Mus musculus: one gene and its partners. The protein of the gene in region 4 purifies or fractionates together with the protein of the main gene of each other region. This does not show direct contact. Links are inferred from orthologs where the notes say so. Each region holds a gene or a part of one and is shown on either strand. Other genes may lie near its edges.

Region 1 (4,795 bases), on a different chromosome or scaffold from region 4:
GGGGCTGCTCCACACGGCCCTTCCTGCTAGACGGACACCGTAGCTACTACTTAGCTGTTTTTAGGCATCTCTGAGCTACTTTAATTTTGCTTGTTTGGGATCTTCTCCCTCCCTCCCTCCCTTAGAGGCAGGGACTCCTATACTGCCTCAGCCTTCTGGAAGCAGAGCTGGATGCATGGGAACCCTCACAATAATGGGAGTCACACCGCCAGGCTGATGTTGGCCTGTTGGCTCAGGGCCAAGCACACCGCTGCACTTAGCAACACTGACTGGATCCCATCTGCAGACACACTCTACTGTCTTTCTCACTCCACTCTAGAGGGAGCGCGCACGGTGTCCATCTTCGCTGTGATCCCTGTGATGAGCAGCAAGGCCCACAGTACCCAGGCTTCCCTGTGCTCAGAAACACGTGTGTAATCATGCGCAGAGATATATATATATTTTTGGTGGCGTTGAACCCAGGGCTTCTTGATGCCTGGCAATTTACCTACTTCATGTTCCCCAAAACGACTTCATGACTTTGGGGGTAGGATGTCAGTGCTGGGAGCAGACCCAACGTCAGTGCTCCACTGCTGAGTGAAGTCTAACACCGCCTCCCGCCGAACACCACCTCCCCCCCCCCCCCACCTCACCGCATCCCCATTAGTTCTGTGTTACCCTGACTGGTTCTGAGCCAAGATGACTCCTGAGTTCAGCAAATCCTGTCTCCATCCCTAAAGTACCAAAGTATTGGTACCGCAAGGGCTAGGTATGATTGATTACCCATTTGTGTCAATCACTTGGGAGAGGGGTGGGGGCAAGTCTTTCTTCTATGTATCCTAGACTAGATTTACGGTTGCCATCCGCCTCCCTCGACTTCTGGCTAGCTGGAATGGCAGCCCTGCAATGCTGTGTCTAGTTTCCTCCTCCTCCTCCTTTATTGGAAGGAGAGCTGCTTTTCTTGTTCCTGGGACTATCTTTGAGCACTACACAGAATATGGAGCCTACCCCGATCCTGGGGTCCCTGCAGTAGGACCCTGTTTGTCTTTGGCCTGGGTTCTCAGTATGGGCTTTGAAGACATTGCAAAGCCTGCAGGGCGAGGCAGGAGCTGACACACCCGCCTCTTCTATAGAAAGGTTCCAGAGGCAGCTGGACAGGACTAGGAGCACACGCCAGCAACAAGTGAAGAAGGGACATACGTGCACAGAGCATGCTGGTCTAGCAGGCCTCAGAGCAGAACTTGGGGGCTCGGAGGCCAGAAAGCGGGAAGCCCCGACCAGATCTGCTCCCTGACAGCTGATAAAATTTAATCCTGAACTTGCTGGGCTTCCTTGGTGCTTTGCTAGGATTATCTAGGTTGTGGAGTCGCGCCGGGAGGTGGCGGTGTGGTCACGCGCACGGGTCTGGCCGCGTCCAAGTTCAAGCTCTGGGTGGGGAGCTAGCTTCCCGTCGCCGTTTCGTTAATAACTTAAAGAGCCAGGCCGAGGTGCAGGGGCGGGTGCGTGGCGGGACGCGGCCGAGGCTCTGCCACTCGGCGCGGGAGGACTCCGACTCTGGTCGCAGTGCCGGGCTGGCCGCGCCCGGAAACCAGACGTCGCCTCGCTCGGCCGCAGGGAAGGTCTCGGCTCGCGTGCCCTGGGTCGCTTCTGGGGTCCCTCATTCAGGGCAAGCACGCGGGGGGCCGCCACAGCGAGTCCCCCCCCCCCCATCCCGCCGGCGCGCGCCGCCTCCAGCCTCCTCCCCTGCCCCCCTCTCTCCCTGCCACCTTCCCTCCTCCCCGCCTCCTCCCTCCCCGCTGTCCCCTCCTTCCCTCCCTCCCCGCCGTCCCCTCCCTCGTCGTCCCTCTCGCCCCTCCTCCTCCCCTCCCTCCTCCCGCTCCCCTCCCCCTCCGCTCCCGCCGCCTCCGCCCGCCGCCCCGGCCGCGTCGGGTAAACCTGTTCTGCGAGGCGGCCGCGCCGGGGCGGATCGAGCGGCCGGCGGCTCCTCGCGGCTCGCGGCGTCGGGGCCCGTGGAGCGCGCGGCCGGCCCTCGGCCGCGGCCCTCGGCAACGCCACCATGTACTCGGGAGCCGGCCCCGGTGAGTCCGCGCGGCGCCCGGCACTCGTGCCGCGGCGGTTGGCGGTTGGCGGGCGGGGCAGGCGAGGGCGGCGGGGCCTGTGGGGCCGCGGCGTAGCCTCGGGGCGGCCGGGCAGGGCCTCGGGGCCGGGAGGCCCAGTGCACCCGAGCAGCGCCACCGGGACGTGTGCGGGGGCCCAGGCTCGGCCTGCAACGGGTCTCCGTCCTCCCGCAGCGCTCCTCCCGCCGTTCCCGAGCGCATAGCTGTGGGGCCCAGCACGGCGGGCCTGGGGCGGGGAGCTGGACGGGTCGGGAACCGAACCACGGGGCCCCGGGACCGCGATCGGTCGCTTGGACGCAGTTTCACGCCGGGCAGCCGCCCTCCCCATTCAAGTGCTAATCGCCCTGCGATTTCCTAGCGGAGCGGGTGGCCGCCGTGGCACCCCTTTCCCACCAGCGTGCCCGTTTCTCTGGAAAAGTTCCAGAAAACTTAAAAACACGGACGCATTTCCCCACCCCGCTCCTGGAGCCGAGCGGAGGGCGGTTTACTCGCGGGGTTGAGAAAACAAGTGTTGGGGAGGCTTTTTCGCCTTCTCCCGCCAGGCACGTGGCTCCATTTCCCGGCTGCCCCGCCGCTTGCTCGGGCTCAGCCTGCACCCCTTTGTCCGCCAGGCTGTACTTGGCGCCCGCGGGCCCTCCCTGCTGCCCACCTGACCTAGTGGTTCGGCCCTGGGGCCTCCCCAGACTTCTTCACTGTGGGGTCTGGAAGCCTCCCAGATCCTCCCGGGTTCCCTATGGTGCCTGCTCCGGAGCCTAGTGCGCCTCCGCTCCTGATGTCACAGGGCTCCTCGAATGCCCACTGACCAACTTGTAAATGCGTTAAAAGGCTTCCCAACGATTTGAAGACCCTTTTAACCTTGCGCTTGGGAGGTGCCCGGGTCCTAGGGACAGATGTTGGGGCCTGGAGGTCCCTGCGAAATGGCCAGCGGCAGCCTCCTGCCAGATTGGGAACCCCCCCCCCACCCCCACCCCCCAGCTCAGCGCTGTGGAGGAACCCAGCAAATCTTAGCTCCAAATTTGTACGTTTTCCCAATGTGTCAATTTCTAGTGACTTCCTCGGGGACGAGGCCAGGCTTTCGTCAATTTCGCGTGTTGATTGATCCCTTCAGCTTGCCACAGTGGGTCTTTCTTGAAGACGCTGGACAGTGGAGGCTCAGAGAGGTTTAACATCCGGGAGCCAGCAAGCATTAGGGCAACCTGTTTGAGCACTCCCCTCTAGAAGTGGTTCCCAGTCCCTTTGACCTTGACCCGCTGTTGGAAGTACTGGTTTGGTGTGGATTAGACCAGTGAGCTCTTTGCTAGGGTGGAAGTAAGAGCCTACTGTGTGTTCTGCAAGGGGAGCTTTGTTGCCTTTAAAAAAAAGAGAGAATGCGGTAGCAACCGGTTCATTTTGGTCACTGGCAGCTTTGAAGATGGCTGCTGCGTGGGCCTCCGCATTGTGGCCTAAGAGGGAGACAGTCCCCTCTAACCAAGAAGGCCTTGGGTGAGAAAAGAGATGCCTGTAGGATAATTCTTGGCTAATGGCAGACTGGGAAGGAACTCAAGTTTCAGGTGGGCCAGTGTCTGTAATTGCAAGCCTGGAGTGCAGCTCCATTTTATTGTACATATCAAGGCTTTTAATTCTGTTTACAAGGAATCCCCCCGCCCCCATCTCTTCAAAGAGACTCCATCATATTTCCAAGTTTAGGAGAATGGAAGACCATTGGATCTGAATTATAGAAAAGCGACAGACTTTTGCTGTTTCTGAGCTTGATGGGAAGTAAATAGTAAATTAACTTTAAAAATAGAATTCACCGTGGGTTCTTATTGTGTCTGTCACAAATACTGTTAGATGTGTGAGGTTAGTAACATTGGGGGCCAAGGTTTAGAACCTCATAGGGTTTTTTTCTTTTCCTTCCTGTGCTATTGGGGTTGGTTAGTGGTTTCGGGAAGGTAAATTAACTACCCATACTGAAACTTCCTAGATAGTGGGTTCTGGGTGGGGTCCCCCCCACCCAAGGATCTTAAACTGTCTGGGAGGAGCTTTGCCTCCTGCAAGGCGGTGCTCCTGCATTCTAGAGCCCAGGAGTATTTGCTACAAAATAACCTCTGTGACTCTGGAAACTGGGTTGAGAGTTGCCAATCAGGACTGAGTCTTTGATCATTGCTGTGGCCTCCGGTGGCAGCGGTTAGCCCTGCCCCCACCCTCATTCTCCCCAATTCACAGTTTTGTCTGAGGGTACCACTGCAGCCTGGCGGCCTGTGTGTGCCGCAGGGAAAGCTCTGCCAACAGCTGGAACGCACAGCCGGTGGCTGAGCACTTGTGGGAAATCTTTCCCCCACCCTCCAGTAGCTTGTGGGGGAATTTAAATAAGTGTTCAAGAAAAAAGATGTAAAAGCTTTGACTTACACATTCTGAAGAAGCAACATTTTGTAACTTTTGAGTTTCTCTGTCAACACCATTGGTTTTATTCTTTACAAGTAAAGAGGCTGGGGCTGCCAGAATGATAAAAATGTTTCTCTTCTTCCCCCCCCCCACTTTTAAAAAATTTTATGAACTGTTATCACACAATTTAAAAAAAAGTTTCTACCGTGGACTAATTTTACAAACCTGAAAGCAAGGTGTCAAAGGATTTTGTTTCTCCTGCGCTTGTCAATGTCCCGGTCTTGTCAGCTGTCCCTTTCCCCTTTACATCCTTCGACTCATTCCAGAGGACATGT
Region 2 (2,776 bases), on a different chromosome or scaffold from region 4:
CACTACTCCCGGAGGGGTCAGGAAGCCCCCTGTGTTCTAGGACAGCTGGGATGAAATCAGCACCACTAGGAGGCAGCACGTCCTCAGGTTAGGACCTTACTTGCTCCCTCAGTGGATGGATGCACTGGTATTCTGGGCAGTGTGACCACTCACCACGTCCTGGTAGCCCCTAAGCTGTCCACGCCCCTTCCAGTCCTGACAATGGGGAGTTGACTGGGTAACCCACAGCTTAGGACACCGAGTGTCTTCAAACAGCCTAACAGGCCCCAGGGAACTAACAATGCTGAGACATGGGGGGCGGGGGGGTGGCTTGGCACCTAGAACAGCTATTTCTCACTGCCCTGTCTTGCCTGCGCCTCCCTGGGGAGACTTGCCTTGCCCGGCCCACACCCTGGAGATGCCTCTGGGGGCCATTTGAGCCCCGGAATACTCTTCTGGGAAAGCATGTTCCTGAAATAAATTCCATTTTGGCATCTTCTCAGGAACAGGAGCATTCCAGGGCTGTTTCCATGATTGAAGGTCAAATGCGACCAGGTCTCTCTTGGGTCCAGCAGCCCTGGCCTGGGCAGCCAAGGAGCCAACAGTGCTCCTCAGAGTCCATAGCATGGCTGAAGAGTGCTAATGCCTTCCAGAGCTCCACGTGGGCAATGTAACTTTACTACCCACCAGACTACTCTGGCGGCCAGGGGCTTACAGACCTGCAAGGCAGCTCTGCGGGCTTCAGGGTAGGACCTGACAGACTGCCATGGAGCCACTTCCAGTGCCACCGCCTTTATTCACAGACCCTCAGTCTCCAAAGCTACAGACACTTGGATTCAAGAGGGCACAAAAAAAGGGGGCCTTGGTAATCCTCCCAGCACACCCCAGAAAGCCAGGACAGGCCTGGCAGCACCACTCCTTCAGGGTCAGCCTTAATGCCCTGTCCAAGGGCACTGCTGTGACCACAACAGTGTCACAGGTACCAGGACACAAGGCCTGGTTGCCCTCAGAGAGCCAGCACTGTCCTAGGCTCAGAGCTGATTCGACTCTGAAAGTGGGGCAAGGAAAGGTCAGGATGGACAGTGGGGGTGGAAGCGGGAGCTCCCCACATGTCCAGGGCAGAAGAAGAGCAAGTCTCCATGGAGAGAGCCACACTGGATGCAGGTGGGACTGCACATGTCCTACTTTCTGGTCATTTCAAGGTTCCAACAGCCGAAGAAACAGAGGTCCCCTTTTTCCTTCCTGACCTTAAGTAGCCAGGAAGGAGAGGGGCAAGGCATGGCAGGTAACAGCAGAGAGGGCTAGATAGGTCGGGCCAGGTGCTACCCAAGATGCAGCTGGCCAGGGGAAAAGGACAGGGGCGGTTACAGCCAGGCCCCTGTTCCCCCAGTGACAGGGGCAACTTGAGACCCTGGAGAGGAAAGGAAGGGCCCTGGTCATCAATCCTGCTGGCTCTGGGATCACGGCCTGCTAGAGCACACTCTTCCCCCCAGGAGCAGCGCCACAGGAACACAGGAAACCACCATCAAGTGCACCTGAGCTTCTGGAGGCCAGGGGAGGGCGCCAGGAGCTCTAGGACTTCTTGGCATCCTGCGTGTTCCGGCGCTTCAGGTCACTCAGGTCGATGGGCTTGAAGGCTGTTGGTGGACAGTCTGGTTGGTGCTGGGAAGAGGACCCCCCCCCCCATCCGCTTCCCACTACTAGAGGCTCCCAAACCCAGGTGCCTTGGAAAGGACACAGTGCAGGCATTCAGCAGAAGCCTGGTCAGCTCCTCCAGGTCGGCCCTACTCACTCTTCAGGCTGGGGTTGGGGACTTTCTCCACATACTCCTCCACTAGGCACCGCTCACCACTGGACAGCTGGCTGCGCAGGTCTCGCTCAACACCCTGCCAGGCTGCAGCAGACAACAGGTTCAGCGCTCAGCAGTACTCAAGCCAACAGAGCATTCTGGTCTCGTGCTAGGTCATGTAGCCCCTGCTCCTACCTGTCTCCCTCTATTAGATGAGAGCTTGTTTTGGTTTGGTTTTGGTTTTGGAGACAGGGTTTCTCTGTTTGTCAGTCTTGTCTGAGACGTTGAATTCTCAGAGATCCACTTGCCTCTGCCTTCTGACCATACTTGGCTACCTGAGGGTGTCTTGGAGAGCCCCAAACTGTCCTCCCTCCTGCGTCAGCTCCTCCTGCCCTTGCTCAGAGGCCAGTCCCTTCTGTGCAATAGTGCCACCCGTTCCCACCTCTCTTACCCACCCTACCTCCCAGCACATTTGTTCAATTCTAACTGTATCACCTCTGTCCACTTTAGTGAAACTATGTTCATAGCTACCTCCTCCCCCAGGAAGCCTCCAGGCCTGAAGACCATCTCCCAGATCCTGCCTCTTCTGGGCTTCCACCCACTCCCCATGCCTTCTTCTTGCGTTGTCACCCCAATGTCCCTCTATCACCAGTCTTGCTGGTTCTAGAGTTTAAGGCCACTGAAGTATGGTCCCCTCCTCACTGAGGGTCTAAAGAGTGGAAGGGTGGTGGGGCATTCACGCACGGCAGGCAGTAGAGCACAGACACCGAGCGCACCAACCTTCATAAATGAAGCGCACATTCTCTTCGTGTGCCGGTGTGAAAATCTCACTGCTGTTGGTGGGAGAGCGGGGACTGCTATTCCTCTTGCCGTTGTAGACAACTCTGGAGACAGGAGAGCTGGGGAAAGGGCCATGTGTGAGGAGGGAGTCACAGGAGAGCTGGAGTCCCAGCTCCCACATTCACCTGAGACCCACCTGGTCATTGCTGGGATGTCCAGTCCTAGTGC
Region 3 (4,106 bases), on a different chromosome or scaffold from region 4:
CTGTGAAACCAAAGTGGCAGGATATTCTCCTTGAAATGTCACTTCCATCACTTTATGATCTGATGACTTTCCAATAACAGTCTCTGGGCCAGCACTGGGCTCATTTATAAATGATAAACCCCATTGATTCTGGAAGATATCCCCCAGGTTTTGCTGATCTGTCTGAGAGGGCAGATCTACTTGTGCACTTAACAGCACTGTTTGCATATTTGAAGGGTAGATAAAAAGGCTAGATTTAATTTGTTCAACGGCTGCTGAAGCCAGACTCATGTCCTGAAGAACAGAATCAGTCCCAGTAGAGATGGGTGTTAAAGTATTAGCAGCAGTCGTTAGCAGTGGCTGACCCCCAGATGGGTACACACTTCCATCAGTTCCTGCTAAAACAGGCCCATTAGAAAAACTGGCAGAAGTAACAGATTTCAGAGCTGACATCGGGACCTGGGATAACCGACTTGAAGACTGGGTCTGAGTTTCCCCAGTAGATGATGATGATGAAGATGAAGATGGTGACACGGAGGAGTTCTGTACAGTTTTGTTGAGGTTTTCCTTAACTTTGCTTGCATAACTTATTTTAGGAACTATTTTTGCACTGCTATTGTCCACTGGAAAAACTGGGGGTGGCTTAAACAAGGTCCATGAGTCCTCTTTGGAGGCAGCAGCTGAGGCATGCTTTCCTTTAGGCCGATCATCAAATTTTTTGCTACTCAAACCAGGTTTAATATCAGAGCTTTTACGAAGCACGTCACCCATAGCAGGTTTTCCACGACTTGTTCCTCCAGGTCCAGTTTCATATTTCCAAATAGGCTTTGAACCATCTACTCGCATTCCCTTTTGTTCACTATAGTCAGGCTTTAAAGTTTCAAGTCCCTGTTTTAATGCTGGGACACTAGTCTCTTGCATTATTTTGTCCTGCACTAAATTAAGGTTTTCACAACCCTTGGCACTATTGCGCCTAGCTTTCCTTTTTTTAGGAGTGGTATATCCACTCTCAGATCCACTACCATCATTATCTGCTCCTTTGCTCATATAACCATTAGTAATATAGCCTGAACTACTTGTTATAACACCATTTGGAATTGCTATGGTATCGGTCTTATCTACAGCCTGGGTCTCTCCAGATTTGTTTTCATAAGACTTCCCATTCTTTTTGTCCATACTGTTTTTCTGAATAAAATTCTTGGTTTTGATTCCTGCTTTTCCAAAGGTGCTGGTCTTTACAGTCTGCTTCAGGCTTGTTTCTACAACTTGCTGGTTGCCATTAAGGACCCTGGAAATAGGGTTGGTAGCTTCATCAGAACTGAGGCTCTTTAAAGATATTTCTCTTTCTCCAGCATTACCGTTTATTTCACCATAGCCTATAGAAGGAAAACAAAAACAAACAAAACACATACATTTAAATCACAGTAGTACTAAGACCAAACAACTTTACTGAACCCAATACTAAGCTGTATTGTAGGGTTTGTTGTATCTTATCTTTATGTAAAGAAACTTTATGTAAAGAAACTTTTACAGATTATGATACAGGGTTCAATGTCTAGGCAGAGGCAGACCTAGGACACAACTCATATCAGGTCCATCTTCTGGGCCAGTAGCCAGAATTAACTAGAAAGATCAGGACCTTTCAAGCAGCATGCCATAATCTCCTCTAAATTATCTAAACAGAATAAACCTTATGAATTATATCAATGAGTCTGCTAGAAAAACTGAAGCAAGATGATTATTGCATGATTGAAGCCTTCCTGAGCTACAGGGTGGAACCCTGTCTCACACACTATTTAGAATCAGTGCTACTTCAGATACAATAACCTGTAAAAGGAAAATAAAAATAAGGCTGTGGCCTTTGTCTCCCTTGTATGACCACTGAACTCAATCCCTAGTACTGAACCTCCCTGTACCCCCAAAGAGTATACTGAGGGCTAAAAGTGACTAGTTGCCAATGAATTTCAGACAAAGCCATAAGACCTGTGGACTTTTCCTCTTCTGGGATGACTAAAGATAGCTACAGTGTACTTACATATAATACAGAAACCTTAAAAACAAACAAACAAACAAAAAACCCAGCATACCATAAAACATGAAACAAAAATATGTAGTAACCCTTAAGACTCATTCTCAGCCAGGCCTCTTTATGCACGCCTTTAATCCCAGCACTTGGGAGTCAGAAGCAGGTGGATTTCTGAGTTCAAAGCCAGCCTGGGCTACAGAGTGAGTTCCAGGACAGCCAGGGCTACACAGAGAAACCCTGTCTTGGGGAAAAAAAAAAAAAAAAAAAAGACTCATTCTCTTACTTTTAGCTTCTACTTGGTTGTTAAAGCACCAGGAGAGAAAATGTTAACATCCAGGTCACAGAGTAACAGAACTAGGAATCTGTCTAGGACACATAATTTCCTACCTGCTTCCAACACTTTCATGCTCACAAAACTACAATGAAATGAATTTAGTATCCTAAAGCAGTCAAGTACTTGAACATAGACTTCTTTTTACAACTAACATTTGTTTTGTTTTGTTTTTAAGAAAATCATGTTTTTCTGTGTAGCCCTGACTGTGCTGGAATGCAAAATCACTGAGCTCAGAGATCCTCCTGCTTCTGCCTCCCAAGTGCTGGGATTAAAGGCGTGTGCCACCACTGATCAGCTTACAATTAATTATCTCTTATTAGAAGTGATTTACTGGGGGGCTGGAGAGATGGCTCAGCGGTTAAGAGCACTGACTGCTCTTCCAAAAGTCCTGAGTTCAAATCCCAGAAAACACATGGTGGCTCACAACCATCTGTAATGAGATCTGACTCCCTCTTTTGGAGTTGTCAGAAGACAACTACAGTGTTCTTACATAGAATAAATAAATAAATCTTTTTTAAAAAGTGATTTACTGGTTAAATCACAGCTTTCTACTCACTAATAAAATAGCAATTAGTTTTATCAATTGTTTTATGACCTCAAAAGACCTTTGGGAAACCCTCAATTCTAACAATAATCAAACAACAAATACTTTTCTTCTGTATGAACTTCCAGAAAAGAACACAGTTGCACAAAAACCAACTATAGACAATATTTTTTGTTTGTTTGACATAGGATTTCTGTGTACCCCTAGCCACCCTGGAACTCACTGAGTTTTGCCTGCCTCTGCCTCCCAATACTGGAATTAAAGATGTGTGCAGCCACTGCCCTGCATCAGAAACAAACATACTGCCATGTATCAAGTTCAATTCTCAACCCTTAGTAGTTAGGAAAAAATTAATTCCATATTCCCAGCATTACATTACCATTTTTCTAAAAACTGACAAAAATAGTATGTGGTTTTGTTTTCTATAACATTTTCTTTTAAAAAATGCAAAATGTTAAGCCAAGTCTAGATATGTATCCCTGAAATTTTGTCTCAAACAAAAACAAAAATTAGGGGCAGGGAGACCCAAATCAATAGATTTGCCTGGACCAAAGGCAACCAAGGAAAGAACTACTTTACCATCTACTATAAGTTAAGCAATACCTGTATCTTCTGGCTCATTAATCATAATTATATATATATATATGTGTATATATATATATATATATATATATATATATACATACATATATATATATTAAAAGGTGGGCAAGCCGGGTGTGGTGGCACATGCCTTTAATCCCAGCACTTAGGTGAGGCAGAAGCAGGTGGATTTCTGAGTTCGAGGCCAGCCTGGTCTACAGAGTGAGTTCCAGGACAGCCAGGGCTATACAGAAGCCCTGTCTCTGAAAATTAAGAAAACAAACAAACAAACAAACAAAAATTCACTTAACTACATATTTGTCTCCCTATGGCCTTGACATGCACTAAGTATGATAAGTACCTTTTAAAGCTTAGATATTTAAGAAAAATGTGAAGATGGTAGTTATTACAGAAAGCAATTAAAGAATCCCTGTGTCTTTATTATTTAGGGTGCCATGAGAACTCCACTTCAAATGGACTCAGCAAAACTTGAGTCCCAAATAAATCTAGCTTTTAGATTTGACACTGCAATTACTCAACATGTTTTGTCTCCTGTGCCCTCTTCTGGATCCAGAAAACCAGTTTCTCATAGCTTTGGAAGTAATGGTTCATAAAAACTTGTTAAGTATTTCCCTAGCATT
Region 4 (4,106 bases):
AAGCCAACTTTTTATTTAAAGTTGAAAAATGGAGTTGGAGGCAGGTGCCTGATAGCAAGAGTCTCAATTTTCTTATGAATATTCAATTTGACTAACAACTTTACTTTCACTAGTAAGCTATTTTATAGGTTTCCCAAATGTCCAAAAAAAAAATATCTATACACAGCTAAATATTTAAACACAACTTTAAAAAGCTAACCACTCAATAATATGACTGCCTCCATAAAGTTATTTTTACAGTTACTTCCTGATTACTAGGAATAACCAAATTTAATATCTGGTAGCAGTAACAAGTGTTTTGTTTATGTGCATTTTCCCAAAAATCCTGACTATATTTTAAAATAGGTGGCTAAAGAGATGGCTCCTTGGACATGAGCACTTGCTGCTCTTTCCAGAAGATGTGCGTTCATCTCCAGCACCCATATCAACAGGCTCACAACTGCCTGAGAACTCCAGTTCCAGGGGATACAATGCCCTCTTCTGGCCTCCGCAGGCACCTGTTGTGCAAGCGTGGTAGACACAGAATAGACACAGACACAAATTAAAATAAATCTTTTAATGTATATATATATTATGTATATAATTGTGTCAGGTGTGGTGCTGCACACCTCTAATCTCAGCACTTAAGCGGCCAAGGCCAGCTAACAAAAGAAGTGAGCTTAAGACCAGTCTGCTCTACATATCCAATTTCCAGGCCAGTAAGAGCTATATAGTAGTATCCTGTCTCAAAAACAAACAAAACCAACCAGCCAACCAAAACTTCTTAAATACAATTTTATCTGAATGTATAGGTACATGCGTATGTGAAAATTCACATGAAAAATAAAGATGAGCAATTTACCAATATATACATTATAGTTCAAACTCCAAGTCCTTCTACTTCCTCAAATGATTCTTCTTCTCACACTAATAGTAAGATTAAATTCTAAGTACATAGGTGCGAAGGCACCATTCTATTAGTTTCTGAGCTAAATTTGTGTCTCCCCCTCCCTACCCAGGCTTATTTTTCTGTAGTAATAGAACAACCAAAAATTAGAAAATCTTGGCTTACGGTATAGAATAATGTGATTCTGGGAAAAAAAAAAATCAAATAGACACAACTTCTAAAATGTAATTTCGAGTAAAGTTTATTTTGTGTTTGCTCACCTTGTATGTTAGAACTGTTCAGAAAGCACATAAATGCAAAACCTAATTTAGAGCCACGTGTGCAGCATGAGCACTAGGAGGAACCCAAGGTCAGGCACTGAATAGCACCTGCTCTCAACCTAGGAACTAAACAGCAGGCACCCCTGTCTTCAGAAGCTGTCAAAGTGGCAGCAGGGTGTAAGGAGCTGTCACATAGGTTTCACTATGTGACAAAAAAACCAACAACAACAACAACAAAAAAACCAACCAGCCAATTAAGAAAACAGTAGGTCCAAGAAATACAAAAACACTTACCAGTGCAAACAAGATTGCGGCATAAGCCATTTCGGAAATCATGAAAGACACGATTTCGATGTTCCTGGAGGGTAGGGGGATATATAAAAACTGAGTAAAATTTATAGACAACTCAAAATTTTCATCATGGTTTCTCTTACCCAATCAGTTCTTCAACCCCAAATTTGTTTACACAACTACCTATGCTTCTGTAGCAGTCTAGAGCTGTATCACTCAATGTCTGTATGATACACTTCATTCCATCATACAAGCATTCTATCAAAAAGGACAGGCATAATAAGCCATGCTGCGATCATAGTCACGTAACATTTATGACAAATATAGTGTCATATTTATTCTATTTTATTATCCTAGTGAACGTTTTACCATATCCAATGTATAAACTGCATCATAGCAAGCATGCACATACAATCTGGTACTGTCTATGATTTTAGGTATCCGATATGGGATCTCAGAACTCTCCTTTGTAAGGAGGAGTTACTGTATATTAAAATCTAGAGCAGTGCATTCTGTAAAAAAAAAAAAAAAAAAAAAAAAAAAAAAAAATTGCACTGGTATTCTCCAATAATGGAGTCACCAGCCTCAGGGATTTGACTAAGTAACAAACCTTTCAATTGTATTTGCTTTTACCTAGTCTAATGGGTACATGGAGCTATGTAATAAAGTTATTGCACTAAACAGAACAAATTTAGAAATTCCCCCCAAAAGAATGTCTCCTGTGCCCTTCCCTCCCCACAGGATTTCATGTCACTCAGGCTGATTTCAAACTTAGTATGGAACAGATAATGACTCTGAGCTTTTCACTTACTTTAAATGCTAGGACTTCATGGACAATCTGACATTTCTTTTTTTTAAAGATTTATTATTATTATTACTATTATTATTAATAATAATGTCTAAGTACACCGTAGCTGTCTTTAGACACACCAGAAGAGGGCGTCAGATCTCACTACAGATGGTTGTGAGCCACCATGTGGTTGCTGGGATTTGAACTCAGGACCTTCTGAAGAACAGTCAGTGCTCTTAACCACTGAGCCATCTCTCCAGCCCCAAGATCTGACATTTCTGGACTGCTTTTTAAACCTATTGGTTTAAGTGAAGGTCTCTTTGTCTACTAAATAGTCCGTTCATTTGTTCTTTTTCTGGAACACTGCTCTACCACTAATACAGCAGTACCTACCTTAAGACAACAGTTTACTCTCACACACAAGGCATTTATACAACATTATAACAAAAGAAAATATAAGAAATACTTAGGAAAATATTTCTTTATTAAATCTATGCAAGTTCTCGAAATTATCCTTACCTGCCTCATTTTAGCATGGATATAAAAGCAAGAGTAGCCCAGCTGAGAAATCTTCTTGGCGAGTAGCTCGACTCTCTGGGAGGAGTTGCAGAAAATGATGGACTGGTTTATCTGAAGCTAAGCACAGAAGATGAGAAAGATGAGAAAGACAGAAGCATCTGTTTATCCAATCATGAAAATATCTAGCCAAGCTTTCAGATGAAAATTTGTCGACCTAGAGAAGATTATCTCATAAGGGCCACCTAACTTGCAGAGACAACACAGTAATGTCCTACAATACACCGCTGCTAACACTGACTCAGCAAATAAGAACCACTGCTTTGAGGCTACAGAGATGGCTCTGCAGTGAATAGCACACACTGTTATTCAACAAGACCCAAGTTCAGTTCAGTTCACACAGTGTGGGCCCCAACTACCTGTAACTCTCCTTCGGGCGCTCTAACACCCTTTTCTGGATGCTTCCAGAAACTGCACTCATATGCGTACAACCCCACACAGACACAGACTCATTAAAATAAAGAAAACAAACAAGTTAAAACAACACTGTTTCTAGAGAAAATGACAAGTACTTGTGAGCCTCTGGTGACATTTTATAAATTGGTAAACATGCCAATTTATGTGTTTTCTTTGAGCATGTCTTATTTAGTATGTCTATAGTCCTAACCAATATAACCCGTGCCTGCAGGAGGTTTACCCAGTACATGTTTTCCCTGTGTAGTACACATCAGTCCCCCTGTGCTTCAGAACACAGGTAAGCACGTCGGCAGCAGCGAGGCCGTCATTTTGGAATGAATGATGAACAGCACCAAAATTTGAAAAACAATTGTAGCATTTATAAGTAAAACAAGAAGACAGAATGTCTGTCCTCTTCTTGGACCTTAGCTGGGATCATTTTTTTTTTTAAGTCCACAATGTATATGTCTAAGAATAACCAAAACCTTCAGTACTAATTTGGGGGTCACAAATAAATTTTAGCAATTAGTATTCACAAAGGATGAACTGTAATTACAGTAAATTATTTAACAATATAAAGCACCTGTGTCAATCAGTTTCAACTGTAAGCCAATTAAAGCTACTTTTTACAAAACAGTAAGATTTTTTACAGTGAAAATAAAGTCAAAAATAAAATTAAAAAGAGAGAAAGAGAGAGAGAGAGAGAAAGAGAAAGAAAGAAAGAAAGAAAGAAAGAGAAAGAAAGAAAGAAAAAAAGAGAAGAGGAATGGAAAGGAAAGGAAAGGAAAGGAAAGGAAAGGAAAGGAAAGGAAAGGAAAGGAAAGGAAAGGAAAGGAAAGGAAAGGGAAAATGATCTAATTGTCCAACTTGCTAGGAATTAGTGAAGGACAGGACTCAGCACAAAAGC
Region 5 (4,106 bases), on a different chromosome or scaffold from region 4:
TCCGGCTCTTCATGTGACTCTCCAGCTGCTGCAAATCTAAAGGGTAACAACGGGGATCATAAAAGGGGTAGCACCAGAGGACAACCACTCCTACTACTTTGGGTTTTATGATGCCACTCACATTCCTGTGTGCCCAGCCTAAAGCTGTCATTGATTTGCTGGAACATAGCCTGGCAACTCTTCTCAAAAGCTGGCAGTACCACACTCTGGAAGGCTTCCCGGTAGGCAGCCTGCATTGGTCCCTGTAACGTGTCTGCAGCTGCTCGGGCAATGGCATCTGTTAAGTTCTAAAATATAGAGAGGGGTCAAGTTGAAAGCCTGAGCCCAACCTGGCCTGTCTAGCTACACTTCCCCCAACCTGGATCCTACATCACCTTGGACTTGAGTAGCTTAGAGATATTCTCTTTCATGCTGCCTTCCACAGCTGTAAGCTTGGTAGCCACTGAGTTGCTTAGTTGACCTGCAACAGGCTCCAGACTTCTGGAGACACCTAGGAGAGGCAGGTGGATGAACCAGAAGTTTGAAAAAGCCCTACACTCACCCAGCCCACTTGAAAGAAAGCTCATGGAAAACTCACATGGAGGAACCGTTTTCTTGATTTCATCCCTTACGCTGCGCTCTAGCCGCCCAGCCACAGCTGAAGACAATGCCTGGGATAGCTGCTGTGTCAGCTGCTCCTGCAGCTGCCCACCCCGTTGCTGCCCCTCAGCCAGTGCCCGTTCCAGCCGCCGTTCTGTGGTGGAGCTAAGGAACAGGCCTACAACAGGACCTACGCCTTTCCTAGGCAAGAATGCTACCGCATCTTACTACCATGCTGTGCCACTACCCCAAGGATACGCTCCTGCTCATGCCGCGTCTCCAGGGCACGCTCTACATGGTCTGTGACAGTACTCTGAAGACCTTCAAGCTGGGCACAGAGACGCTGTAGCAGTTCTTCTTGGTTGTGCCATAGCTCTGCCAGCTCTCTTTGCTGCTGCCAAATTAGTGCTGGCCAGTCTTCAGGGGGCTCTGCCACCTGCCAGAAGCACTGACAACTTACACAATGTCTATCCTGTCTATCTCCACCCCCTCCCGCCCCAAAAAAGAAATAGCTCAAAGTGTGTCCCCCCCCCACCTTGGGATGGGGTCCCATAGGTAGAAGGTCCTCCCTTACATACCTGGTGCTCTGTGAGCCGGGATCCCACAGCTGAATCCCTACATAGGCAAAAAAGCATTGCAGGTCACATCAGGCAGCTTAGGAGACCACCCCTGGCCCTGGTCCCAGAAGCCTCCTATCCTCCTACCCATCATCCTTCTTGCTTTTTCTCTTGAGCTTAGGTGACGTCCGAGGGGATCCCTTCGTCTTCCAATCCTTGGAAGGCAGCCGTGGAGTAGGAATTTTGCTGCCAAAACCTCCTGAGGCAGAGGCAAGGCTGGCAACCTCATCATCATGGTCACTGTGGAAGGGGAAGAGCCTGCTCACCTGCTGTCCCCCTACTAATGGCTCTCCTTCACAGAGGAGCACATAGACCCAGGTGGCGCTCACCTTTGCTCAGCACTTGTGTCCTGACTGTCACGTTGCTGCAGCAAGTGATAAGGTGGCCTGTGGAAAGCCAGACTTTTGTGCTTTTCCTGGAGGCCATTCCTGGGGCTAAGGAAATACACTGGCTCAGGAGTGGCTAATCCTAATGTCCCTCCCACCCCAAGCATAATTTTCCCCTTCTAAGCTTCTCACCTTTCTGTCAGTGTGCTACAGGTCTCACGAGTAATGTCAGGTGCCGTAGGCCAGACTTGACTGTCAGGGGTTGCAACTTCCTGGGTCAGGGCTGCTTCCAGCAGGGAAGGGGTACTATGCCTATCCCCATCTCCAGGGCCTCCATCCAGACCCAGCTGAGAGCCAAGCTCAGGGCCTTGCCTGGGCCGAGGAGAGAGTAGGTGTAGTGCTGAGGCAGCTGAGGCCATGCTGTCTGGCTCAATGAGGCCCTCAGGAACAGAGGAGCCAAAGCCACGGGACAGGGCCTCAGATGCGATTTCAGGAATGTCCTGGGACAGGGCAGTGGATGCTGAGGAGATCACATCAGGAGAACGGGTTCGACTTGGGGAGGCCTGGGGTAGCCCTAATGGCTCCACTTCCTGCAAATCCAAGGACAGTGCAGAGGCAGCAGTGGATACCTGAGAAGGGCAAAGACAAAGGCTTAAGTAACAGGGGCTAAGGGGCGCAAAAACAAGTCACTGGGATCTGCAGTGACGGCCATAATGTAGCAGGAAAGAGAGATGCAGTTGGAAAGTAGGGCCACAGCTCACGAGAGATGGCAATGAGAGGCCGCTCTAACCTTTGGGGAAATGTCACACTTCCAAGGCCCATCAGGGTCAGCAGAAAAATATGCAGGAATAGAGTGCTCCAATCTTTCCCATCGACCTACACCTGCTGCTACCCAGTACTTTATACTCATGCATATCCCCACACACATACCCTCCCCTTCCTCCCTTCCTCCCCCCACCCCCCACCCCCCAACACACCTGACCAGGTCCCTTGGAAATCAACTTGTCAGCTGGGCCTGGGAGCAGGCCCGGAAGGAGGCTTCGAGGGCTTGCCTGCAGGCTGCTGCTGCTGCTGTTTAGCGTCAGGCTGCCATCTAGCTGCAGCTTGGGGCTCAAGGTCAGCTCCTCAGGTGGTCTACTGGCAGAAAGGTAAAGCATTAGCAATTGTAATCCATCTCAGACTGGCACTAGACCCAATTCTGATTTTTATCTTACCTGGGCAAGGAAGGGTCCATGGCTGAGGAGCTGCTCACAGCAGACACAGCTGTTAGAGAGCTGCTGCTGCTGCTGCTGCTGCTACTGCTGCTGCTGCTACTGCTGCTGCTACTACTAGGGGATGCAGAGATCTGGGAAAATCCAGAGAATAAGCACGAAGGTCAGCTAATGGGACACTACCAGAGCTCTCTCCACTGAGGAAGGAAGTACCTGCTGCAGGGAGGCAGTAGGTGTCATGAAAGCATCAGGTGTCATCAACTTGGGCTTGGTCTCACTGCTCAGACTGAGGAAGTCTGCAGGAGCAGGCAGTTCCACAATGCGCCGCAGGTCAGGCTGGGAACCATGAGCAGCTGAAGCTAGCCCCTCGGAGCCTAGTTCAGGTCGAGACTCTCCAAATGCTGCTGGGAAAGCTGCCTAGTCAGGTCTCCAAGCCACAGCAGTGGAACCTGTCTCCCTCCTGTTCCCTTACTCACTGAAGTCCTCGTGGGCAGTGTGGGTAGAGAGTGGGGCCACCACATCAGGGTTCAGCTGTGGCTGGAAGCGGATCTGCACATCTTGTAGTGCCCTAAAGAGCAGCAAAGGGGAGAAGAGAATACTCAAAAAGGCCAGGGCCATAGGGTAGGGGGAACATAGACAGGACATGGCAGGCCTGCCTGACACTCACTTAGTGTGCACACAAAAGAGCTTGATAAGCACACCAGCTGCGGATTCCAAGGCTCCAGCTCCATGGGAACTCTCTGAAAGGACAGTGTGGATCATTAAGGCCTTGGCCTGCTCTGTGCCTGGACACTTCCCACATACCAACGTATAATCCTGCCCCTGGGCAACTCACCGGTCCCCAGACTGTCATTCTCCTCCTCAGCAGGCAGGACCTCAGTGTGCCGTAGCCGGCAGCGACTGACAACCTGGATGCCAAAGCTCAGCACAGGGTGGGTGAGCAGGAACTCAGAGATAGAACTAAAGCACGCGCGGCCCTCGTCCTGGTTCTGCAGCAGCTCCATCACATAGAGGACCTGCATGAGCAACACACTCCTAACTCAACGGAGGCTATGTCACATAGCCCTGCCCTGCCCAGCAACACCAGCTCTTTCCAGCGTACCACCATAGCAGCCTACCTTTCGTTGCACATCACTAAGAATCAAATACTCTGCTGAGAGGTCCAAACAAACTTTGAGGCTGGGAGGCACACTCACTGAGCTGAAGATATCTGGGGAGAAGCTAGGAAGCCAAGAAGCAGACCAAGTAAGTAAGACTGAGAATTCAAAGAAGCTATATCCCCGGTCTACCTCCCTCATTCTAGTTTACCGAATGGTTTGCAGGCAGGTCCAGGACACTGTGCACCACATCTTCAGCTCTCGATTCTGGTCGGC
Region 6 (4,106 bases), on a different chromosome or scaffold from region 4:
ATTCAAAGTCTGCAAACTCCCTACCACCACGAGCGCCTCTGAATCCAGCACGAAACCCTCGAGGGGCAGTGAAGGTTCCTCCTCGGCCACTACCACGCCCTCTGCCACCACGGAAGCCAAGGCCTCCTCTGCCTCGGTAGCCTCCACGGCCACGGTTTGGACGAAGCGGGATGCCAAAAGTTTCAGCATTTAACCTTCTTTCTTCAGCCCAAGTTGGTCTCCTTTCTCTGTTATGTAAGAGGGACATTAGCACATCAACCCAAAAAGTGCATCTTTCAGCAAATCTATGCAGCCCCAATTCCTGACACATTTAATTGATTTCTCGAGCTCAATTGAAGAAATAAGAGCAGGCAATCTAGACTCTCCCAGCTCTAATGGCATGCAAGCTCTGTACACTCCTGCAGTATGCTTTCACATGACACAGAGGCTTGTTTCTTATAAATACAATTGATAGATGCTAAAGAGCTGGGCAGTGGTGGCGCACGCCTTTAATCCCAGGACTTGGGAGGCAGAGGCAAGCAGGTTTCTGAGTTTGAGGCCAGCCTGGTCTACAGAGTGAGTTCCAGGACAGCCAGGGCTACACAGAGAAAAAAACCCTGTCTCGAAAAAACAAAAACAAAACAAAACAAAACAAAAAAAAAAAAAAAGAAAAAGAAAAAAAGATGCTAAAGGCTTTCATATGAAGATAATTAAGACCCAAAGGACTTGTGATTGATTTCACTCAAGCCACAGAAGAGAGGACAGAGCTGGTAGGGAAAGCCTTGGTAGAGATGGAGGTCCTAGTATCCTAGCTCAATCTCTGGACCTGATGAAATTAACCCAGCAAGTGCCTACACTGTTCCACCAATCATCCAGCCTACTAGCACTCAGGCCTCCCTGTCCATATTTACACTGAAGCCAACAGTTGCCTCCAGGGGGCACTGAGCTACAGTCAGGACAAAGGCAATGTGATGCGGGCAGCAGACTTCTGCAGCTCTTAGCTTAATGTGCTAAGTCATTTCTTTTTGACAATTAGAAATTTTCTGGATCTTCTTCTTTTTTTTTTTTTTCTTTTTCTTTTTTTGGTTTTTCTCTGTATAGTCCTGGTTGTCCTGGAACTCACTTTGTAGAACAGGCTGGCCTCAAACTCAGAAATCCGCCTGCCTCTGCCTCCTGAGTGCTGGGATTAAAGGCGTGTACCACCACGCCCGGCTTCTGGATCTTCTTTAACTGTAATATGTCAGAGTTTTACTGTATGATTCCATTCTGAAGAAGTATTTTCCACTTGGGTCTGGTTTCATTTGAATATAATATAGACAGATAACGAAAAGGTTTATGTTACACAAATGCTGTTTAACTAATATCTAGGTGTGACTACATCTTTAAACAATAGTGTGTTTTTTGTTGTTGTTTTTTTTTTTCAGGACAGGATCTCTCATAACCTAGGCTAGCCCTAGGTATAACCTAAACCCCTGTCCTCCTGACTCCATCTTACTCAAGTGCTGGGATTACAGGTTAAAGCCTATGATTCTTTTTCTTTTTTGTGTCACTAGGATAAAACCCAGGGCCTTGCATATGCTAGGCAAGTAGTCCTCCATTAACTACATCCCTAGCTTTCACTTTTTTTAAATTTACAACTTTTGGGCTGGTAAAATGGCTCTGTGGATGAAGACTCAAGCAAATTTCTGGGTTTCATCCCTGGAAAAACTACATGGTAGGAGGAGAAAACAGATTTCTCTAGGTTGTCCTCTGACTTTCACACCTACTCCATAGAATGCATGCACACAAACAGACACAGAAAGAATCAAAAACTTTTAAATAGTAAATTTTTTTAGGAAACAAAAACAAACACATACACACACACAACAACAACAACAACTGTGAGGCCTGGAGAGATGGCTCAATAGTTAAGAGCCCTGGCTCTTCCAGAGGATCTAGGTTAAATCTCAAGCTCCCACATGGCTGCTCACAACCATCTCCGCCTTCAATTCCAAGGGGTCTGGATGACCTTTTCTGGCCCTGTGGGCACTATATGCACGGGTACATGAACAAACATGCAGACAAAACACTAAAACAATATACATAAAATATAACTGAATAAATCTTACAGAACCCAGTACCTATTATCATCACAAGAGATGTTGTCAAAGAAGGACTTGGTCTTGTCATAGTAGCAGTTGGGCCCAAGGGGATCTTCCTCATCAGCATTCCCTTCACTGTTCTGAGTGTCGACTCCTGAGTCTCCTTTGTCTTCACCGTTTACAGGTTTCTCTTGTTTCTCAAGTTTATCTTCTAAGGAAAAACATGCAAGTTAAGACTTTACACATCTAAGTTGTAAACCATCTTTAACTCAAAGATCAAGTTAATCATTTTTGAGTAGAAAAATAAAATTTACCTTTCAGTTTAAGTTTATTATGAAACTCTCTGTCAATTTCCTCCTTGTTAAATTGTGCATTTGCACTTTCAAAGTCAAAGTCTTTCTCAAATTTCATTGGACCATCTCGACGGATACCAAATCTTCCCCTGCCACCTCGATGACCCCCACGTCCTCTTCTTGGAGCAGAAGGAACTCCAGGAACTATATTAATAAAGAATATTTATAATAACATTCAGTATGTATTAGCTCGTTTAGAATAACACTGTGGTCTTTGTATGAAATGATCTATAACATAAATGTTTAAACTCTATTTGTACAGTATAGATGTATTTTTATACAAATAAGAAATGGGGATGGAGCCGAGCGGTGGTGGCGCACGCCTCTAATCCCAGCACTCGAGAGGCAGAGGCAGGCGGATTTCTGAGTTCGAGGCCAGCCTGGTCTACAAAGTGAGTTCCAGGACAGCCAGAGCTACACAGAGAAATCCTGTAAAAAAAAAAAAGAAAAAAGAAAAAAGAAAAAAAGAAATGGGGGTGGGTTAGAGAGAGGGTTTGTGATTAAGGACATCGGCTGTTCTTGCAGAGAACCTGGGTTTAATTCTCAGCACTCACATGGTGGCTCACATTCAAAACTCCAGTTCTAGGGAGTGAATGATGCCTTCTTCTGACTCTGCTAAAACCAGGCACTTGCTCTACGCATACAAATATGCAGGCAAAACATGCATTTTTTTTAAAGAAAAAAAAATCTTAAAACAACAATCCCCAAGAAGATTGCTTAGCGGATAAAGTTGCTACGGTCAAGCCTGATAATCCCAGTATAATCTCTCGGACCCATATGGTGGAAAGAGAACTGACTTCCACAGCTGTCCACTGACCTCCATATTGATAGTGTGCACATTGGCACATATACACAAATTAAAAACAAAACAAAGCACTCCTGCAAATCTTCTAACCTCTACAGGTGCAATATAGCACACATATGCCCATACGCATAAATAAACACACACACACACACACACACACACACACATACACACACACACACACACAGAGAACAAAAAGAATTAAGTTGCTAAAAGTTAGTATGCACATGAAAAACAGCATAGATTTTATGTAACTTTAATATAACTTTTATAGTTGTTTTTATGAAGAGCACAACAAATAGATGTATAATCAACAGATTTGAGGCCTTCTCCACTATATTTACCCAGGCTCTAGAAAGCTCTGTTCTTCTTTCTGCCCTATTCCCTCAAACCCAAGTGCCAGGTTCTTTGTGGAATGGGTAACAGGAAACAAGATGTACAATAAAAATGTAAGTGAACACTAATCAGCACAGACAGCAAGGTAGGGAGGTGTTTCTTACAATTCAGATAAAACAACAGAGAAGCACCAGTCCTTACTGGCTCTAAGAACTTCCTGCTTTCAGTTTTTCCCTCTACCTGGTTCCATGTATTCAGGTTCCTGAATCTATGTGTTCTCTTTCTATAACACCACCACAGGATTCCAGCCAATCATCTGAGATATAATAAACAGCATAAAGTAGAAAAATTCATAGTGAAAACTTGTGACCCCACATATCCAACACATGTGTGTCTAAGAGTAAAATAACCCAGAATCTGGAGTAGTTCTTGGTGTGACTTTAACTTAAAAACATGCAGAAAACAAAGCAGGATTAATTTCATGAAGTACAAATTGAATAGTTATATGAATTTTGTAATATACAGACAAAAAAAACAGAAGTGACTACAGAG
Region 7 (4,106 bases), on a different chromosome or scaffold from region 4:
ACACAGTGAGACTATGGCTGAAAACAATTCCAAATAAACCACAAACAAAAAAAAAATTCTGATAAAATTTCAATTTAGACTTCAGCTTGAAATTTCTAAAATTTATTTCTTTTGGCAAAAAATACCAAACAGAGGCTAGAGAGAATTATCAGTTAAGGCACTTGATGTTCTTACAGAGGATCAGAGTTCAGGTTCCCAGCATGTACAAGGCAGCTCACAGCTGTCTGTGATACCAGTCCCAGGGGTTCTGCTGCCTTTTTTTGGCTTCCGTGTGTCCATACAGTACAAGTACAAACACGCTAGCAAAATGTTCATATATAGAAAAAAAATACAGATATTTATATGTGTATGAGTGTTTTGCCTGCATGTATATTGATACATGTGTGTATGCCTGGTATGCATGGAGTCCAGAAGAGGGCACTGGATTCCCTGGGACTGGAGTTAGTTACAGATAAGTCGTGAGGCACCACGTGAGAGCTGGATATCAAGCCTGGGTCCTCTGCAAGAGCAGCATGCACTCTTAACCAATGATCCAATTCTCCAGCCTCAAAATGCATCTTTAAAAAGAAGGCCGAGTGTAGTGGGCACACCTTTAGTGCCAGCACTTGGGGGGGCAGGAAGATTTATAGGAATTCCACAAAAGTCTGGTCTATAAAGTAAGTTCCAAGCTAGTCAAGGCTACAAGGTAAGAGAGAGAGAGACTCTGTGTGGGGGTAGGGTAGGGTGGAGTGTGGGTGGTAAAGGTGTAGGTGACTGGGATGGGGATGGACATTTATTGGGTTGGCAAGATGGCTCATCAGGTAAAGGTATTTGTGGCCAAATCTGATGACCTGAGGTTGATCCTAGAACCCACCAGGAGGAACTCCTACAGTGTTCTTTTAACCTCCATGTATACTGAGTGCACACATGCACATACCCACACACCACATACAAAGTTTATTTATATTTTTTTCTCTCACATGATTACTATGTGATCACTTGAATACTCACGTTGGCCATCACAAGTGAACACATACCCTGTGAATTCAAGCTGAAGCCAACTATTCATTGCACACAGGTGCTAAACTCATGCAGCATGCAGACACAAGCAAACACAGGCAGGGTTATTCTCACCTTTACCTGCTCTATATGTCTTGGCTTGGTTCACAGGCATGGGCGTCATAGGTATTGGGTATAAAGGCTTGAGGGAATTGAAAACACATCATTAGATTCATATGGTAACAATATATTCATTCTATCACTGTCTTTTAATGTGATCTGGCCAGTGTTTTCTTGATTCCCTGTGAGCTATTCAAATTAATACCCACAACTAAAAGGAACAACTCTGGCCTATAGTAAATGTAAGTCATTTTTTTCTGAAAATTAATCCTAAAACTTAGATCCACATGCTAATGATACAATACACCACCCCTACCCACTGCCCACTCTTAACACTACTTGCTATCAGGTGTCCCACTTAGTGCCCACCTAGGACACTTGTGCTAAATGCAAGCTATGGTGTCCAGCAAATTGTAACCCATGGAACTTACTTGTACGCCCGGGCTCACTGGGACGGGATACATCATATTGGGTGCGAAGCACACAGGCTGAGTGTACACTGGAGCTGGCTGCTGATGACCCACCATAGATGGGCTGGGTTGTGCTTGAGGCCGAGGTGACGTTGGGGTAGTAGAAGGCTTTGGCTACAAAACAACAACAACAACAAAAACAGAATTCAACATCAACTCTGTCAAGATGAAAAGCATCTATGAAAACAATATTCAAAGCAGCTTCCCTGATTGTTCTGCCTATTTGTTTTTAACTAGCATTTTTTTATTCTAAAGATAAAGCAAAGCAAAACAAACAAACAAACAAACAGGCAAACAAAACATCCAGAGGCTAGCATGTAAGAAGTTGATTCAGTTTCCAGGGGTTAAAAAAGGGAAAACTTAGGCTGCAGACATTTCTCAGTGTTAGAGGGCTGGCATAAACACAGATTTGGTATCAACACTGTATCATATCTAATCAAGCTAAAATATTTATCAATGAAAAAAAGATATAAAAATTGTAATAATTTTACAAGGAACCAGAAAAGGTCTATCCATTTTTTTCTTTTCATTTTTGTGTTTTGGGGTGGGGATCTCACTATGTGGCCCAAACTGACCACAAAATCATGACCCTTTTGCCCCGGTCTCCTGTTTGCTAAGAATACAGGCATGTTCTCCTATGCCTTCCCGAGGAAATGGACTCTCTTGTGTAGTTAGTGAGTGGGCTTCTTTGGCCTGACAGCCTCAGTCGTTGTGAGCTTACACTGAGCTGTCCCTCACAGCGGCACAGCAGGACTGACAAGCTTGGGGACATCCCACAAGCCTGGAGGCCAGGCTGTCTCAGGGTCCTACAACTGGGCTCAGTCAGATGGGAGCTCAGGAGAAAGCCATGAAGAGCGCAGTGACGTCTCTTCAGACCAGCTGTAAAAGGCTAGCGCTTACCTGAGAGAAAGAACGAGGGTTGAACTCCTTTGCATTGGGATTCAATGTCGATTTCCTAACCTGCCTAAGAAAGAAAGAAAACAACAAGCAGGCCAGTGAAACATCATGGGGCTGCGGCTTTCTCAACTGCGCCACACTCGTCAGCTTTCAGAGGATTGCTGACATAGAGCAGATGTGAGTAACTCTCCATGTCTCAGTCTCCTTTACTGAAACACACACCTCTGCTGCTTAATCTGATGAAGAAACTAACCATACGAGAACAAATGAAAACCAAAGAAACCACATCCCTCAAAAGCAATCACCGAATATTTCAACTGGTAAGTCGCAGCCCCTTAAAAGGGTGCCTAATGAGGTTAAGTGACAGCTAAACAGCTGCCACTCCATAGGACTGGGTTTATTAATCCATCTATCTATAACTACAGTTTCAGGCATCTGACACCCTCTTTTGGCCTCTGAAGGTACAGCAAGTGTGTGGTGTACAGACAGACAGGCAGATAAAACACCAATGCTTAATGAGTTCACAGTAGTTCTAATTTTTTTTTTTTTTTAAAGATTAGGCCTTGCAATGGATCCAGGCTGGCCTCAAACTTAGGATCAACAGCCTCAGATGCCCAAGTGCTGTGTTAACAAAGCCCTTCCACCACCTGTAGCATACGCAGCAATTTTAAATGTGTCAAAATGTTTTAATCACATGCCTTGGGTTTACCATTGCTCTAGTAAAATTATTTTTCTGCAAATCAAGAATAAATAGTTCAAGTACAATTAGTTTTTTTTTTTGTTATCCAGAACACAAAAAGGGAGTGGTGATTATGTCTGAGGCTAACCCACTAGTTTATCTATTTAAGTGCTTTTAAATGCCAGATGCACAGAAATAAGGTTTATAAAGATGTGCTTATCAACTAAACATTTCCTCAACTGGGGCAGCAAATAGTCCTTGCAGACTGCAGGGTTAGGCAGAACCAGAACCCCGAGACAGGGCATTCAAATTTAAACTCTTATCTCCATAGAAGTAGCTTTTCTTACCCCCACAGCTGCAAACAAGTCAGAATGGGAAGAATGCTAAGAACCCAATGACTAGATTCAGCTCAGATTTCTAACCCCAGCTCTATGTAACAGTTACTATGGAACAGAAAACCCCTTAAAGCAGGTTACTCGGAGAGAGCATGTGCTGAGACCCAGGTTACTCACTCTGTTGTGTCTTTCTTCTCTTCTCTGTCATCCTTCTCTTGTTTGCAGGCTGGGCTGGAAGTCTGCACCCCTTGGGATGTGACCTCAGGCCCCCTCTTGTGCTCTGCATTACTAAGCATGGAAGGGGAGATGCTAGGGCTGTTGGTCTTGCTGCTGCCACTGGTACAGTTGCTGCTGCTGCTGCTGCTGTCAATGAAACTATCCTTAGCACTTGCTTCCGTTTTATCTTTAATCAAATCTCGTGACTTTTCTCCTTCTCTATTTTTGCTTAGTAGTTGATCCATAGATTCAGATGTAGAGCTTGGCTGTAACTAAATATAAGAAATAATTTCCCATTAAGTATAAGCCAAGTAGTATGTGATGGCAATGAAAATACTTTGAATAGGTTTTCTGTTTTCATTATTTTCAGAATATGGCCTTTTTGGTGGACTTGTCTGTTTGTTAAGACAG

The links.
Region 1: the proteins of Ddx6 (region 4) and Ago2 purify together in Homo sapiens (affinity purification with western blotting; 5 studies listed by BioGRID and IntAct, with this or other methods). This does not show direct contact. The link is inferred for Mus musculus from reciprocal best matches to the Homo sapiens genes DDX6 and AGO2.
Region 2: the proteins of Ddx6 (region 4) and Mcrip1 purify together in Homo sapiens (affinity purification with mass spectrometry; 3 studies listed by BioGRID and IntAct, with this or other methods). This does not show direct contact. The link is inferred for Mus musculus from reciprocal best matches to the Homo sapiens genes DDX6 and MCRIP1.
Region 3: the proteins of Ddx6 (region 4) and Nufip2 purify together in Homo sapiens (affinity purification with mass spectrometry; 6 studies listed by BioGRID and IntAct, counting the BioPlex papers as one, with this or other methods). This does not show direct contact. The link is inferred for Mus musculus from reciprocal best matches to the Homo sapiens genes DDX6 and NUFIP2.
Region 5: the proteins of Ddx6 (region 4) and Edc4 purify together in Homo sapiens (affinity purification with mass spectrometry; 4 studies listed by BioGRID and IntAct, counting the BioPlex papers as one, with this or other methods). This does not show direct contact. The link is inferred for Mus musculus from reciprocal best matches to the Homo sapiens genes DDX6 and EDC4.
Region 6: the proteins of Ddx6 (region 4) and Lsm14a purify together in Homo sapiens (affinity purification with mass spectrometry; 4 studies listed by BioGRID and IntAct, with this or other methods). This does not show direct contact. The link is inferred for Mus musculus from reciprocal best matches to the Homo sapiens genes DDX6 and LSM14A.
Region 7: the proteins of Ddx6 (region 4) and Atxn2 purify together in Homo sapiens (affinity purification with mass spectrometry; 6 studies listed by BioGRID and IntAct, counting the BioPlex papers as one, with this or other methods). This does not show direct contact. The link is inferred for Mus musculus from reciprocal best matches to the Homo sapiens genes DDX6 and ATXN2.

Annotation. Positions count from the first base shown.
Region 1 is NC_000081.6:73,182,023-73,186,817, reverse strand, and holds the start of Ago2 (protein argonaute-2), read left to right. Parts: upstream 1-1,870; 5' UTR 1,871-2,035; coding exon 2,036-2,057; intron 2,058-4,795.
Region 2 is NC_000077.6:120,542,133-120,544,908, forward strand, and holds the end of Mcrip1 (mapk-regulated corepressor-interacting protein 1), read right to left. Parts: 5' UTR 2,753-2,776; coding exon 2,745-2,752; intron 2,668-2,744; coding exon 2,549-2,667; intron 1,874-2,548; coding exon 1,772-1,873; intron 1,617-1,771; coding exon 1,552-1,616; 3' UTR 756-1,551; downstream 1-755. UniProt on the Homo sapiens protein: The phosphorylation status of MCRIP1 functions as a molecular switch to regulate epithelial-mesenchymal transition. Unphosphorylated MCRIP1 binds to and inhibits the transcriptional corepressor CTBP(s).
Region 3 is NC_000077.6:77,688,791-77,692,896, reverse strand, and holds part of Nufip2 (nuclear fragile X mental retardation-interacting protein 2), read right to left. Parts: intron 1,356-4,106; coding exon 1-1,355. UniProt on the Homo sapiens protein: Binds RNA.
Region 4 is NC_000075.6:44,628,781-44,632,886, reverse strand, and holds part of Ddx6 (probable ATP-dependent RNA helicase DDX6), read right to left. Parts: intron 2,864-4,106; coding exon 2,747-2,863; intron 1,505-2,746; coding exon 1,441-1,504; intron 1-1,440.
Region 5 is NC_000074.6:105,887,149-105,891,254, reverse strand, and holds part of Edc4 (enhancer of mRNA-decapping protein 4), read right to left. Parts: coding exon 4,042-4,106; intron 3,955-4,041; coding exon 3,852-3,954; intron 3,769-3,851; coding exon of another isoform or gene 3,750-3,768; coding exon 3,569-3,749; intron 3,474-3,568; coding exon 3,401-3,473; intron 3,302-3,400; coding exon 3,210-3,301; intron 3,138-3,209; coding exon of another isoform or gene 3,135-3,137; coding exon 2,947-3,134; intron 2,868-2,946; coding exon 2,737-2,867; intron 2,660-2,736; coding exon of another isoform or gene 2,657-2,659; coding exon 2,500-2,656; intron 2,152-2,499; coding exon 1,715-2,151; intron 1,631-1,714; coding exon 1,526-1,630; intron 1,437-1,525; coding exon 1,284-1,436; intron 1,195-1,283; coding exon 1,158-1,194; intron 1,016-1,157; coding exon 838-1,015; intron 734-837; coding exon 578-733; intron 491-577; coding exon 375-490; intron 288-374; coding exon 122-287; intron 37-121; coding exon 1-36. UniProt on the Homo sapiens protein: In the process of mRNA degradation, seems to play a role in mRNA decapping. Component of a complex containing DCP2 and DCP1A which functions in decapping of ARE-containing mRNAs. Promotes complex formation between DCP1A and DCP2.
Region 6 is NC_000073.6:34,351,291-34,355,396, forward strand, and holds part of Lsm14a (protein LSM14 homolog A), read right to left. Parts: intron 2,558-4,106; coding exon 2,375-2,557; intron 2,272-2,374; coding exon 2,100-2,271; intron 228-2,099; coding exon 1-227. UniProt on the Homo sapiens protein: Essential for formation of P-bodies, cytoplasmic structures that provide storage sites for translationally inactive mRNAs and protect them from degradation. Acts as a repressor of mRNA translation. May play a role in mitotic spindle assembly.
Region 7 is NC_000071.6:121,794,799-121,798,904, reverse strand, and holds part of Atxn2 (ataxin-2), read right to left. Parts: intron 3,968-4,106; coding exon 3,657-3,967; intron 2,533-3,656; coding exon 2,469-2,532; intron 1,683-2,468; coding exon 1,530-1,682; intron 1,181-1,529; coding exon 1,114-1,180; intron 1-1,113. UniProt on the Homo sapiens protein: Involved in EGFR trafficking, acting as negative regulator of endocytic EGFR internalization at the plasma membrane.